Linked DNA regions of Coturnix japonica. The protein of the gene in region 2 interacts with the protein of the main gene of each other region in a pairwise test. Links are inferred from orthologs where the notes say so. Each region holds a gene or a part of one and is shown on either strand. Other genes may lie near its edges.

What was found.
Region 1: the proteins of COPS5 (region 2) and PPP1CC interact in a two-hybrid assay, tested with the Homo sapiens proteins (2 studies listed by BioGRID and IntAct). The link is inferred for Coturnix japonica from reciprocal best matches to the Homo sapiens genes COPS5 and PPP1CC.
Region 3: the proteins of COPS5 (region 2) and MAP2K2 interact in a two-hybrid assay, tested with the Homo sapiens proteins (2 studies listed by BioGRID and IntAct). The link is inferred for Coturnix japonica from reciprocal best matches to the Homo sapiens genes COPS5 and MAP2K2.

What each region holds. Positions count from the first base shown.
Region 1 is NC_029530.1:5,190,983-5,195,327, reverse strand, and holds the start of PPP1CC (serine/threonine-protein phosphatase PP1-gamma catalytic subunit), read left to right. Parts: upstream 1-1,462; 5' UTR 1,463-1,702; coding exon 1,703-1,757; intron 1,758-4,345. UniProt on the Homo sapiens protein: Protein phosphatase that associates with over 200 regulatory proteins to form highly specific holoenzymes which dephosphorylate hundreds of biological targets.
Region 2 is NC_029517.1:104,436,277-104,440,553, reverse strand, and holds the start of COPS5 (COP9 signalosome complex subunit 5), read left to right. Parts: upstream 1-1,427; 5' UTR 1,428-1,794; coding exon 1,795-1,949; intron 1,950-2,061; coding exon 2,062-2,296; intron 2,297-4,277. UniProt on the Homo sapiens protein: Probable protease subunit of the COP9 signalosome complex (CSN), a complex involved in various cellular and developmental processes.
Region 3 is NC_029543.1:1,719,365-1,723,665, reverse strand, and holds the start of MAP2K2 (dual specificity mitogen-activated protein kinase kinase 2), read right to left. Parts: upstream 2,884-4,301; 5' UTR 2,869-2,883; coding exon 2,558-2,868; intron 1,378-2,557; coding exon 1,113-1,377; intron 1-1,112. UniProt on the Homo sapiens protein: Catalyzes the concomitant phosphorylation of a threonine and a tyrosine residue in a Thr-Glu-Tyr sequence located in MAP kinases. Activates the ERK1 and ERK2 MAP kinases.

The sequences.
Region 1 (4,345 bases), on a different chromosome or scaffold from region 2:
GAAGGCAGCTGCTGAGATGGAACCGCTTGGCTCAGTGGGGACCAAGGCTCCCACGCACAGGGTGCAGCGGTGATGAGGAGTGCAGAGAGCCCTGTGAATGCATCCGACTGCTCTTGTCTTGGGATGAGGCTTCTCTGGGCTTCTACATGTGGCTGAGTCCCTGCTGAGCAAAGCCCAGGCTGTGCAGAAAGCCCTGAGCTCCAGGGAGCTGCCTACCTGCAGCGTGTGTGTTTTGCTGATCCTCACACTGCACGTTTTGTAAATAAAACATGACACTAAGAAAACACCTGACTCTGCATCATCACCTCCCTCCAAACAGAATACAAACCCCTACATCTCCAGATCAGCCTTGTGGCTTTGTCCATCTGCTCTTCAGTCTGACCAACGACTGTTACAACCCACAAACTCTGCAAGGTCTGAAATGTGGGGGTAAGCAAAATAGTTCAGACACCAGAGGCAAAAAAGCAGACATCAAAAGTTGATCTGGACTGTAGCAGGCTGATATCCAGACACACGCAGCAGGAGTTAGGAAAACACTGAGCATCTAGATAGGAAAAACAACATTTGACCCTCACATCACACCTCCTTTGTTTTCCCAGTGTTGAACAGTCTGTGTAGGTCTTTGAAATGTACACAGACACACTGAGTTGAACAGACCTAGGAAATATGTAATGTGAAGCAAGGGGAAGCGTGGGCAACTTGCATTTCTTAGGATCCACCTACATACAGGAATTAAATAAGGAGCTTTTCATCACTAGCTGCATATATATACATGTGTATGTGTGTATGCACAGGGTATGTACGTACATTATACATGCAGTATGTGTGTGGTTTGGGTATTATGTATATGTATGTACAGGTGAATGAAATGTTCTTTATTTCAATACTGACTGTAGGTGGGCATTACGTATATAATACTTATGTTTTTATACATGGCCAGATTATGAGCAGCTGTACAATAAACCACATCCTTCGTGCCCTCACAGTGTGAACTCTGCTCTCTGCAATGGTGGTTATGTAACCATCGATGTGAGGTGTGTGTGCAGCTGCTGTGGGGAGGAGGGATGGAGATGCTAGGCCAGGAGTTAATGAAGCAATTAAACAACATTCAGAGATGCAACTTGAATGTCCTGAGTGGTGAATGTGCCTTGAAACTCAACACAACGCCTCGCCTCATGCAGGAGGGTGCCACGATGGGGCGTGCAGACACAGCACCATGGGGTGAGGGTCCAGGACCACAGGATCAGGCTCCAGTGGTCACAGCGGTGGGATCTCGGTGGTGTCCGCCTTGTTTGGGGTCCAGGAGGCGGTGTTATATGGGCAGAACACACACCCCTCGTGGGCACTATTTCTCCACCCTTCGGCGGAAGGATCCCGACACCAGCCGCAGTGCGCACTTCGCTCCGCCGCGCGCTTCCCGCCCGCCTATAAAAGGGTTCGTGCGCCGCCTTGCGCTCGTGGTATCCATCCGCTCCCCCGAGCTCGCTGAGGAGACGGCCGCCATTTTGTTCCGCGCCGGAGCTGCGCTGAGAGCGGCAGAGAAAGAGGGAGGGCGGGGGGGAAGAAAGAGAGCGGGTAGGAGAAAGGACACGGGGAGAGCACGACGAGACGACGAGAGAGGAGAGGAGCCGGGTCAGCCGAGCAGCCAGCGGAGGGAGGGAGGGAAGCGGCGGGGAGGGGTCCGCCTGGCCGCTGAGAGGCGATGGCGGATATAGACAAGCTGAACATCGACAGCATCATCCAACGGCTGCTGGAGGGTGAGGGGCGAGGGGAGGGGACGGGGGTCGGGATGGGGTGGTCGGGACGGGGCCGCGTGTGGAGCCGGCACTGGGGGTGGGGGGGGCTGTGCTTTGTCCTCAGCCCACAGAGCAATGAGTGCCCTGAGGAATGAAAGGGAGACACGGCGGGGTTGGGGCAGGATGGTTTGTTAAGGGAACTGAGCGGTTTTCTAAAGGATTTGAGGAAAAAGAGGGTTATTTTTGGGGTGAGCTGCCCTGATCCGGCCTCGTTCCTTGTTGTGTCTCAGGGCGGGCACCTCGCGCTTGAGGAGCTTCATGGGGTTTAACGTGTTTCCATCCGGCTCCGAGTCATGTAGGTGCTGATGAGACGAACGGGAAATGGCTTTCAGCAGTGCCGTGGTTTTTCAGCGAGAGGACGGCGGTGCTGCTGGAACCACAGGGACTGAAAATCCGATGGGTGTATTATGGGATTACTGAGCTAGAATAAGTAAAAGTAAATAGGGCTTTTGCTGTGATCCGTTGCGGGCTGTGCCTGTTACCAATTTAAACTACCCCGGCTTAAATTATTTAAAGGCTTCCCTTTGTAAATTTAGACCAGGATTTTCCTGAAACTCTAGTAGCACACTTTGTGCTGTCGGGTCCTGTATGTCTTACATCTGCCGACATTAATAAGCGTTCACTTTTACTGCAGGTAATAGTTTATAATTCTTACCTGGTCTGCTCTAATGTAACTAATGCAGTTTTCCCGGATCAGGTCATTACAAACAATGAATAGGATGGAGCAGAAGGAAATGCAGTTGGTTTTGAACAATTCTTCTTGTTTTAAAGTTTAAAAAGGGGCAAGATGTGCTACACCAATAGGTTCTTACCCAGCTTGTACCCGTGTTACACATATAGAGGGGATGGGAGTTGGTCATTCAGGGCTTTCAGACTGACACAGAGGTGGATGTGTACCATTAAAGATGGTAAAGATCCTAAAGATCCCATTACTGGAGGTTGCATCAGCTGCCAAGACTGAAATTAAATGTTTTGGCTTTATTGATGTTTCATTTGGGATTTTGGATCCTATGAAGCCGTAATGGTTTTTCAGTGTTTAAAATGATTACCACCTGTGCTGATATGCATCTTTATTGCGTATTAAATGCCTGTTGTAAACATTTCTCTCAGGCAGTGATGGTTGACCTTTGTGGCAGCCTTTTCTTTTTCCACTTCTCCAAAGGACAAAGTGATGCTGTGTTTTAGCAGGTGCTGCGTTGTGGATAGATGGATAAATGGTGTGAGTAGCTGTGAGCATCGTTCTCTGTGGTTGTTTAAAATCTGACTCAGCCTTGCCCTGGAATTACGAAGGTACAGTTAGGTTGGTGGTGGGACTGAACTTCTACAGGGCAGATCTACATGGTGTTAAGTGGGGAAGGGGGGGAAATCAGGTCTGGAGTATGTGCAGGGTTTGTCATCCTATTTAATTTGGAATAAATGAGGAATAATTTCTGTCTTACCTGGCATTCTTTTCAGTGTAGTGCTGGCACACAACTGGATGCAGTTAGTGCCTTGAAGCCTGATGGATGTGTTTCAATTGATAGGCTTTCAAACAAGGTGGCACTCAGGTTGTTGCAATTGCAGTCAAGTATTTCAGTGTTGTTGTTCTTAAAATGTATACTTACCTAAAATATATAATTGTACTATTAAAATCAAAGGATATGAGCAGCTAATATGGCATTATCCCTTCTTCCTTTTAAAGGTCAGGGGAAAAAAGATGCATTCTGGAGATAGGTGATGAAATACTCAAATCAGTGTGAGCAGACAGTTGTGCCTGTGTCCTATAAGGCACCTTAGTGCTGTGCTGGGTGTAGTCTGATGGCCTAGGTAAAGCAAAGTGCTTAAATGGTTAATCATAATTATTCTTGCTTTTGTTCCTAATGTAGGGCATCAATAATTGATTTGTCATTGGGTTTTTATGTGCTTTCTATCATGACTTCATGAAATTTGAGGTAATTATACAGATCAAGTGACTTCCCTCCAAGTAGCTGATACAGTCTCACCTGCCATAGGGTAGATAGCTAATTATTAAATCAGTCTTTAAAAAAATCTAGATATATTTATATATTCAGCTTCTTAATCTGAAGTGAATATTTGGTGAGTCCTTCTTGCTCCCAATGTTTGTAGCATAGAGGTGTTAGGCTTTGAGGCATCACAAAAAGCCTTTCTCAGTAACATTGTGCTCAGCCTCAGTGAGCAGGTTGATGGAAGCACTGGGCAAACTAATGAGGGCTGTGTTCTGTTAGGAACAGTTTGTCTGGTTTGGGGGCTTTTAGTAACTTTCCTAACAACAGTTTTCTCAAGAATAAGGCTTTTAAAGCTTTACTAAATGACAGTATCCAGCAGTGAGTATTGAAATGTTTCCTAAGTGTGCTTGATGGTGGGTAAAGGCTCGTATCTTTATGACTGAGGAATAACAAGGGGCAACCCTAAGAGCACATTACTGTCCTTCCAGGAATACAGTAGGCAGTGACTGCATGGCTCTGAGCTTACAGCTTTGTGTGTCTGTTAAACTGAAGCTGCAGGTAATGTGAACAATCAGCATCATCTGCACAGTAGTGGAAAGGCTC
Region 2 (4,277 bases):
TACAAAGGAGAATAGCAGAACTAGGGCATCCTATTTGCAAGCCCTACTGGTAACACGGGACAGTCAGTTCCAAAAATAAATTCCCCATCTGATTTGTGCTAAAGCTTTAATCTCATTACTTTTGGACGGTGATAACAGATCAAAGGTATCTATAAGATGGTAAGATTTCAGGCACCGATGTGTTTCGTTGAGCCTATTAAGTTACATAAGAATAATAAAATGCCTGTTCTGAGTGAATAACCTGTCATGGTGATCAACTTAAAGAATTGGTGGCATCAGCTACACAGTGCAGCACCCACAGCAGGGAAAATCCCTGCATGAAGGACTGCAAGTTTCATCAGACAAGAGAAAATGGCTTATTATACTGCTGCCCAGATTTACCTGTCAACATAAAAAACTTAAGTGCTACATAAAACAGTACGATGTTGGCTTAGCAATGTGTCAGAACGAATGGTGTGAATGACCAGACCCTTGCAATCATTCCTATTGATGGCAGCAGGTTCTAAACCAGGCTTGCTTAATCGCATACTGCAGGCAATGCAAAGCACAGAGAAAAAGCCATGCTCAAATGCCAGAGATACAGACGCTGGACCTACACCCAAACACAATTAATAATGCATGTCTCCATTCTCGAGACATTCAAACCACCTATTTGTATACACGGTCAGTATATTGGAAAGAGCATCATACATCTCTTTCATTACCTCGGGGAACATTCAGTGCATTCCTTTTTACCCTTTCCCTTGTATTTCTTCAAGGAAGCAATGCATAGGATCTAAAATCAGCACTTGTGATCAGACACGCTATATGCTGTGCTATCATAATTCTAAATATCCAGAAAACTTGGCAGATGGCAATTTTCCTCCACGGAGACTGTAGCAGGGGTGGCAGGGGAGTGAAGTGCTTCAAGAAGCTCCTACACGCCACGTTCAGTAACTGCACTTACAGGCACGCCCACAATTAACTAAAACAGTATGACTTTTCCTAACTGTGAAGGCAGCCATCCATCAAAACACCAAGCCAATGAGTTCTGAGTCATCTCCTCTCACCCTAAGACTTCATTTAGGATTCCAGTCCACCTCCTCTGACCCAAAACCTAATTAATCTGAGGAATCCCTCAGGGACGGCTCACATTTATTTCCCCATAAGCGAACCCCCTCCGCCTCCTCAGACTGCTCCCGGAGCGGGGCGGGGCGGAGGCCCGGCCCCTCACAGCAGCGTTACTCCGTTGTTAGGCAACGGCCGTGCAACAAGCGGCTCCCGCACAACGCCCCACCGCCCCCACCGGGCACACAGGGCACACAGAGGCCAGGCCAGGCCAGGCCAGGCCCCGTTCCCCCGTTCCCCCGTTCCCCGCTCCCCGCACCGCCTGCCGGGCCCATCCCGTTCCCCGCCGCTCAGCCCCGCGGAAGACAGCGAGGCCGCCCGCTCGCAGCCCGGGGCGGACGCTCGACCTCCGCTCTGCGGAGCCGGGAATGGGGCAAAACGGAGCGAGGCAGCACCGAGCGCTGACCCGCCCGCACCGCCGCTCACCGGCACACACAGCCCCGTCCGCCTCCCGCGCCGGTCGCCACCTCCCCGGAAGCCGGCGGGCGGCTTTCTGCCGTCCCGGAGCTCATTCTCGCTAGCGCCGCCTGTCGCCGCGGAGGACCCGGCCCGGCCGCTTGGCCTCCACCTCCCGGCTTCCCCGGGCCTGCGCGGACCGCAGCAGCTCCCCGTTCCGCCCGGCGAGTCGCGGCCTGGCTCGGGCCGCTGCGGCTGCGGAGGGGTTGGGCGGAGCGGGCGCGGGGCGCGATGGCGGCGGCGAGCGGCTCGTCCGGGAGCGGGATGGCGCAGAAGACGTGGGAGCTGGCCAACAACATGCAGGAGGCGCAGAGCATCGACGAGATCTACAAGTACGACCGCAAGCAGCAGCAGGAGATCCTGGCGGCCAAACCCTGGACTAAGGAGTGAGAGCGGGGCCGTGGGGCGGGCGGGAGAGCGGGCGGCGGGGCCGGGGGTTGAGGCGAGGCGAGGCGAGGAGAGGCCCTGAGCGCTAAATCGGCCTCTGTCCCGCCGCAGCCACCATTACTTCAAGTACTGCAAGATCTCGGCGCTGGCCCTGCTGAAGATGGTGATGCACGCCCGCTCGGGGGGCAACCTGGAGGTGATGGGGCTGATGCTGGGCAAGGTGGACGGGGAGACCATGATCATCATGGACAGCTTCGCTCTGCCGGTGGAGGGCACCGAGACCCGCGTCAACGCGCAGGCGGCCGCCTACGAGTACATGGCCGCCTACATCGAGAACGCCAAGCAGGTATGCTGCGGTGGGGGGGATATGGCGTTGCTCTTAACTTCTTGCTTTTGGAAGTCTTAAGTCTGAAAGTGCAGTAAAATTCTCAATTGCGGAGGGAGGGTGGTCCTCCCTCTCTGCCCCAGTAATGCCACAGCTGAAGTATTCTGTCCAGTTCTGGGCTCCTCCGTTCAAGAAAGACAGGGAGCTTCTGGAGAGAGTCCTGCAGAGCGCCACTAAGATATGAGGGTTCTGGAGCATCTCCTGCATGAGGAAAGGCTGAGAGAGCTGGGACTGTTCAGCCTGGAGAAGGCTGAGGGATCTCATTACTGTTTATAAATATCTAAAGTGTAGGAGTCAAGTGGACACAGCCAGACTCCTTTCAGTGGTATGCAGCAACAGAATAAGAAGCAACAAAACAAATCTGCAACACAGGAAGTTCCATACAAACAGAAGGAAGAACTTTATCATCAGAGTGATGGTGCCCTGGAACAAGCTGCCCAGAGGGGTTGTGGAATCTCCTCTGAAGATATTCAGAACCTGCTTGATGTTTTCCTCTGACCCACTATAGGCAATCTGCTTTTAGCAGAGGGGTTGGGCTAGATGGTTATCCCCAGAAGTCCCTTCCAATCCATACAACTATGTGATTCTGTGAAATATTAATCTGCTCTGTGGCTGATGCAGAAGCTGACATGGCATATGAGCACTTGCTGGCTCAAATAAGCACTGGAATCCCTCAGACTGTCCAAGCTCAAATAGTTTGAGGCCTAGTTTACCCTTTGATTTGTCATTAATCCTTAAAGTATTTTAACTCAGCTGAAATTAGAGGGTCCTTACATAGTGTAGATAAAGGTACAACTATTTAGGTTATTTTGGAGAGGTGTCACAGCTTTCTGTGGGTTTAAGGACATTTAACTAAATTAGGTTGGATCGTGACTTCAGAAGAGAGTAAATACAGCCCAAAGGTAAGGATGTTCTAAGGCCTGTGGTGGGTTTTTTTGTTGTTTTTCGTTAACTTATCACGCTTCTTTATGAGAAAATTTCTAAGTGATCTATTTAACGTATTACTTTAATATATTATTACTTATATTATTATTACTTTAATATATTATTAAAGTAATGATTTATTGTATTCTTACTGAAAAGTATAGAAAATGAAAGGGTGTTTATATCTGAAGATACGTTTGTACTACCCAGTTCTTAGGTAGAAAAATTGTCTTAAGTATAGAGCATGGCATCGGTATTTACATGTACGGTTAGTTCATTTGACTTTTAGAACAGCCCAGGTTTATATGGGAGAATTCATGATACGAAAATAAAGCAAAAACAATAACTCAGCTTTACTGGAGCTCTGACAGTGCGTCCTGGCTGCTTCACATCTGAGGTTGGAAAGCACTTTGTCCTGGAGTAACTCTTTTTAATGTTAGATTACATGTTGATAATAAGAGCACTCTGCATAAGTGCTCTACAGAAGCTAATGTTGCAATTACTTGCTCCTCCATAGGCAGGATCTGATGATAAAATAGTTAAAAGAAAAATGTTATTTGTTTCAACGACTCAAATGTTCAGTTGGGTAGATCGTGTGTTCTGTCCCTCTTAATAGTTTCCAGATTTAACCTTCCTGGTATGCTCAGTATTTGGCAAAACCAAGCAGCTGAATGCATTGAACACACTGCCATGTAGGATGTACATAAATCCTTTCACTCAATATTGATCAGCCAGTACACAGTTCTTGGCCAGTTACAATAAACTAGGTGCGCTGGCTGTTTATTCACCGTGATTAACAATCAATTTTGATTGGTTTTGTTTGTTTGTTTGGGGTACTTGCTGAGATATCCCGGAGTATTATTTGGGAACTTCTTTTATAGTTAAGCAAAATAAAGTGCATGTTGAATATTTCAAGTTAGCATACAGGCTGTGTATATTCTTTTTATCCTCTTGCTGCGTTGTAGTGTGCTGGAAGGCTCAGTAGAGGGCAGCCCATGCTTTACGAATGAGGATCATC
Region 3 (4,301 bases), on a different chromosome or scaffold from region 2:
CAAGTGTGAGCATTGGAAAGAAAGGGAAATGCTTTCAAAACTGAGGATAAAGAGTCAAGCTGTGCAGCCTGTTAGCAAGTGCAGCACCTACAAGCCTGTGTAATACATTGAGATCACCCAGGACATGGAATAGAAAGGAAAAGTCAGAAGCTGGCTGCAGATCTGACTCAGCAACGTGGACATTTTCACAAGCTTTGTAGGTGTTGTGAGAACAGCTGCTCTTATATCAAGGAAACTACATGAAGTGAAGGAAAAAAACCAACCAACACATTCACATGCTTGTGCACGTGAAAGGGTAAATGCTTTATTCCTTGGGCTCCACACAGAGGCAGCTAACAGCTGTGGAAGGGAAGCCATGAAGTCTAGGAAACATGGCAGGTTAGAAAGCAGCTGCTGTTAGTATAAGCTCTAGGACACCCAGGCAAGGTTCTGAACACAGCACTCCCAATGATCTCAAAACCATCTAATTACAAAATAATGCCCCAGTGGAGGACTCACAGAGCCCCACTCCAAGCAAAGCCACCTGGAAAACGTATTAGTTCATGATACTCACTAAGTCATCCCCACAGCAGGTCTTCCAAGGAAGCTGTCCTATATATAAACAATTGTATTGCCTTCAGCGAGCACTGCCTTTTCTAATAGGCAGACAAAGCATCTCCTGTTTCTCTATTACAAGACACTGCAGTAAAAGACATCTCCCATAAGCCGACCTCAGAGAGAAACAGCTGTCAGGCCAGGTTCACAAGGCTGCTAGGAACTATTAAGCAAGGGATGTGTGCATGCTAAACTCAGGTGCGTGCAGGGTCAGCCATGCATCTCTCTACCTGCTGCCAACACTGAGCCCTCGTTAGCCATCACCCTCAGAAACCCCATTTCCTGGTAAAAGAACGAACTCATGTTCTCACAGCAGGCATTGCAAAACCCTGTGACCTGTTGTGATGCAGACTTCCCCTCCCAGGAGATGGCCCACAGCCAGGCAGAGCAGCCAGAAAGCTTATAGAAATTAAGGCTCTGTACATTAGTGCCAACTCAGGTGCTTTACATGCAGGTGGAGCAGTACAGACAGCCTGGTTGGACCCTGCTCCCTATCAATGCATCTCCTGCCCCCTTACCTTCCGTGCCATAATGAGCCCCGAAGGTTTATGTTGCACTTTGGTGACCACACCACCATTGCCAGCCCCCAGCTCGGAGATCCTCTCAAAGTCATCATCCTTCAGCTCTCCCACTTTAGCTTTCTGAGTGAGGAAAGCTTCCAAACGCTTCTTCTGCTGCTCATCCAACTCCAGCTCCTCCAGCTTCTTCTGTAGGTCCACCAGGTTAGCCCTGCAGGAGATGATGGGGGCATCAGTCTGTGGGGGTCCTGAGAAAGCCTGTCCTCTGTCGGCAGGGGCAAAACACGGCTCATAAGGGAACAGAAGCCCCATCCCACACGAACTCAGCCCAAACCCCTGTTATAGTTAAGGGCCAACCTCTCCTAACATGGAAAGCCACGCTTGGCCTTCTCAATGAATCACAACAGCTCTCCACATACCCACCAGCCCCCTGCTCTACCCACAGCCGAACACAAAGGGGATCCTGTGTTCCCCAACACCTGCTCCACACACACACACTCCAACCATCCTCTAACATTTGCTGCCCCAACCCCCACCCAGGGCAGTGGGTCAGGAAGGGCTCCCTGCAGCCCCAACGACCACCCCCCATCCCTTCTTCTCCCAGCCCCAACGACCCCCCCTTCCCCCCAGCCCCAACGACCCCCTCCTCTCCCCCCCAGCCCCAAAGACCCCCTCTTCCTACCCCCCCCAAGCCGTCCCACGAACCCCCCCTCCTTTTCTTCCCACCCACCAGCCCAACGAACCGCCCACCCTCCTTTCACCCCCCGCAGCACCAAAGACCCCCTCACGCCTCTCCTTTCCCTCCCCAGCCCCAACGACCCCCCCTTCCCTCCCTCCCAACCCAAACGACCACCCCTCCTCTCCCCACTCCCTAAAGCCGCACAACGAACCCCCCCTACCTCCTTTATCCCCCCAGCCCCCCAAAAACCCCTCTCTCCTTCCCTCCCTCCCCAGACCCCATATGACCCACCTCTCCTCCCCCCCCAGCCCCCAAAACCCATTCTCTTTCTCCCTCCCCAGCCACACAACACCCCCTCCTCTCCCCCTCACCCAACGCACCCCCACACCGTCCCTGTGCCCCCCCAGTGCCCCAACGACCCTTCTCCTTATCTCCCTCCCACAGTCCCAAGACCGCCACCCCTCCCTCTCGCCCCCCCCCAGCCCCAAAGACCCCCTCTCCTTCACCCCCCATGTGCTCTGTCCTCCTCCCCTCCCCCCATTGCCCAGCCCTGCTCCCCCCGGCCCTTCCCCACTTCATCCCATCCCAACTGAGTACGAGATCACTCTATACCCAGCCCCATTTCCCATACAGCCCCCATCCAAGCAGACCCCATCCCAACCCCATCCCAACCCCATTCCCCGTTCAACCCCCAGGCCCAACACACCCCCAACCCTTAACTCTCCCAACACGGCAGGGTCCGGACGGGTCCCCCACCACCACTCACTCACTCTGCGGATCCTCCAGGCCCTGGTCCCTCAATGGGGCTGGGGGTGATGGTGAGGGCCGGTAACACCGGCTTCCTCTTGGCCGGCATGGCCGGGCCGCGCCTGCGGGCCGAGCGGGGCGGAGCATCAAGTCAAAGGGGCGGAACCAATAGGGGGGTGGGGGCTGCAGCGCCCCCTGGTGGTGACCGCCGGGAGCGCAGCGTGGTGGCAGGGTGGTGGTAGGGAGGAGGGGATGGACTTTGCTCGGTGCAAGGAGTTCCCGTCTCCGCTGTTGGGCCATAAAATGAGGCGTGAAGGAGGTGCCCTCCATCCTACAGGTCCCTCCTGGACATAGTGCGTTGTGCAGGAGATAAGCCTGATGTTGTAGCCTTGTACCCGTGGCACGCAGCGTGGTCATAAGCTCACTGGGCACGAGGGAGAGGTGGGGGCTGGCTGTGTCATGCACCATAGGGATCTATAGGGTGGGTTATGCTGGGATCTGGACATGGCCATCCAAAGCCATAACCCCCAGCTGCAATATAAGATACCCACCATCATCATAGCAGGGTGAGGCAATGTGAGATACCCACCATCACCATAGGAGGGTGAGGCAATGTGAGATACCCACCATCATCATAGGAGGGAGAGGGATATGGCAGGCAGTGAACCCCTCATCCCATTGATCCATAGGGAAACTGAGGCACAGCTGAGCCCATAAGGATCGTGAACATCAGTGGGGATTAACACATATTATAGAGAAGCAGCATATGGTTGAATCCAAGTCAACGTCTTCCCCAGACATCACAACGCCTATAGGGTGTGATTAATGCTGATGCACTCAGCTGAAAAAGGGAAATATTACCCCCAAAGTGGGGGAAAGTTCATGGGCACTTACAGAGCCTGGACTTCGCCCATCAGCCCAGGCCCCTCCTGCCCCGCTCGGCATAGGAGGACAAAACCATTTGGCTAATAAGTTACGGAGCACCCAAGGGCCTTCCCTTTGCCATTGCATATTGGCGGCCCCAATCAGGACACGGGTGATTTTGCAATCTTGGTCACTGTTTATGTGTTGTTGGAGTTTAAACTTTGCCACTCGGGTCAGGGCATCGCAAAGGAGGAGGTGGCCAGGCTCGGTGTCTTGCACACCAAAGGGAATTCAGAGGCCAGGACGGATCTGAGGGTTCCCCATTGGAGTTGGGATCTCACACAGGTATGTCCTGGCTCAATAGGGCCCTATTGTCAGCAATGGGGCTGCTGGTGTCAATGGGAGGACCATAGGGTGTAGTTTCCCCTTTTATCCCAAGCTGGTTGGCTAAATGTCCCATTAATGACAGCCAAACTCAAACCCAGCTCAAAGAAGCCTTGAGTCAATGCTCTATAGAATGGGAGGTCGGTTGGATGGTGGGCTGGGTGGTTTGGGTGGGAGGTTAAGCGAGTGGTCAGTCGGTCAGTGGGTTGGTGGTTTGGTTAATCAGTTTGTCAGTTGGCCAACAAACAGCTCAGCTGTTTTGATCTGCCTTTTGGCCACCTCCTCCATATTGCTGGTCAGTCAACCAACTGGTTGGTATTCTTTGGGAGTCTTTGGGATTGGAGTAGAGGTGGAGACCTTTCTTGGGGTTCATTTGCCACACTAAATGATTAACCTGATCTTCCCAGTTGTCACATATGCTAGACAGGATCAGAAAGAAGATCTGAGCTGAGGCTCAAGTCTGGGTGCTCCTCCTGATAGGGTTGGGATAGCTGGGTGCCAATGGGGAGCCCCAT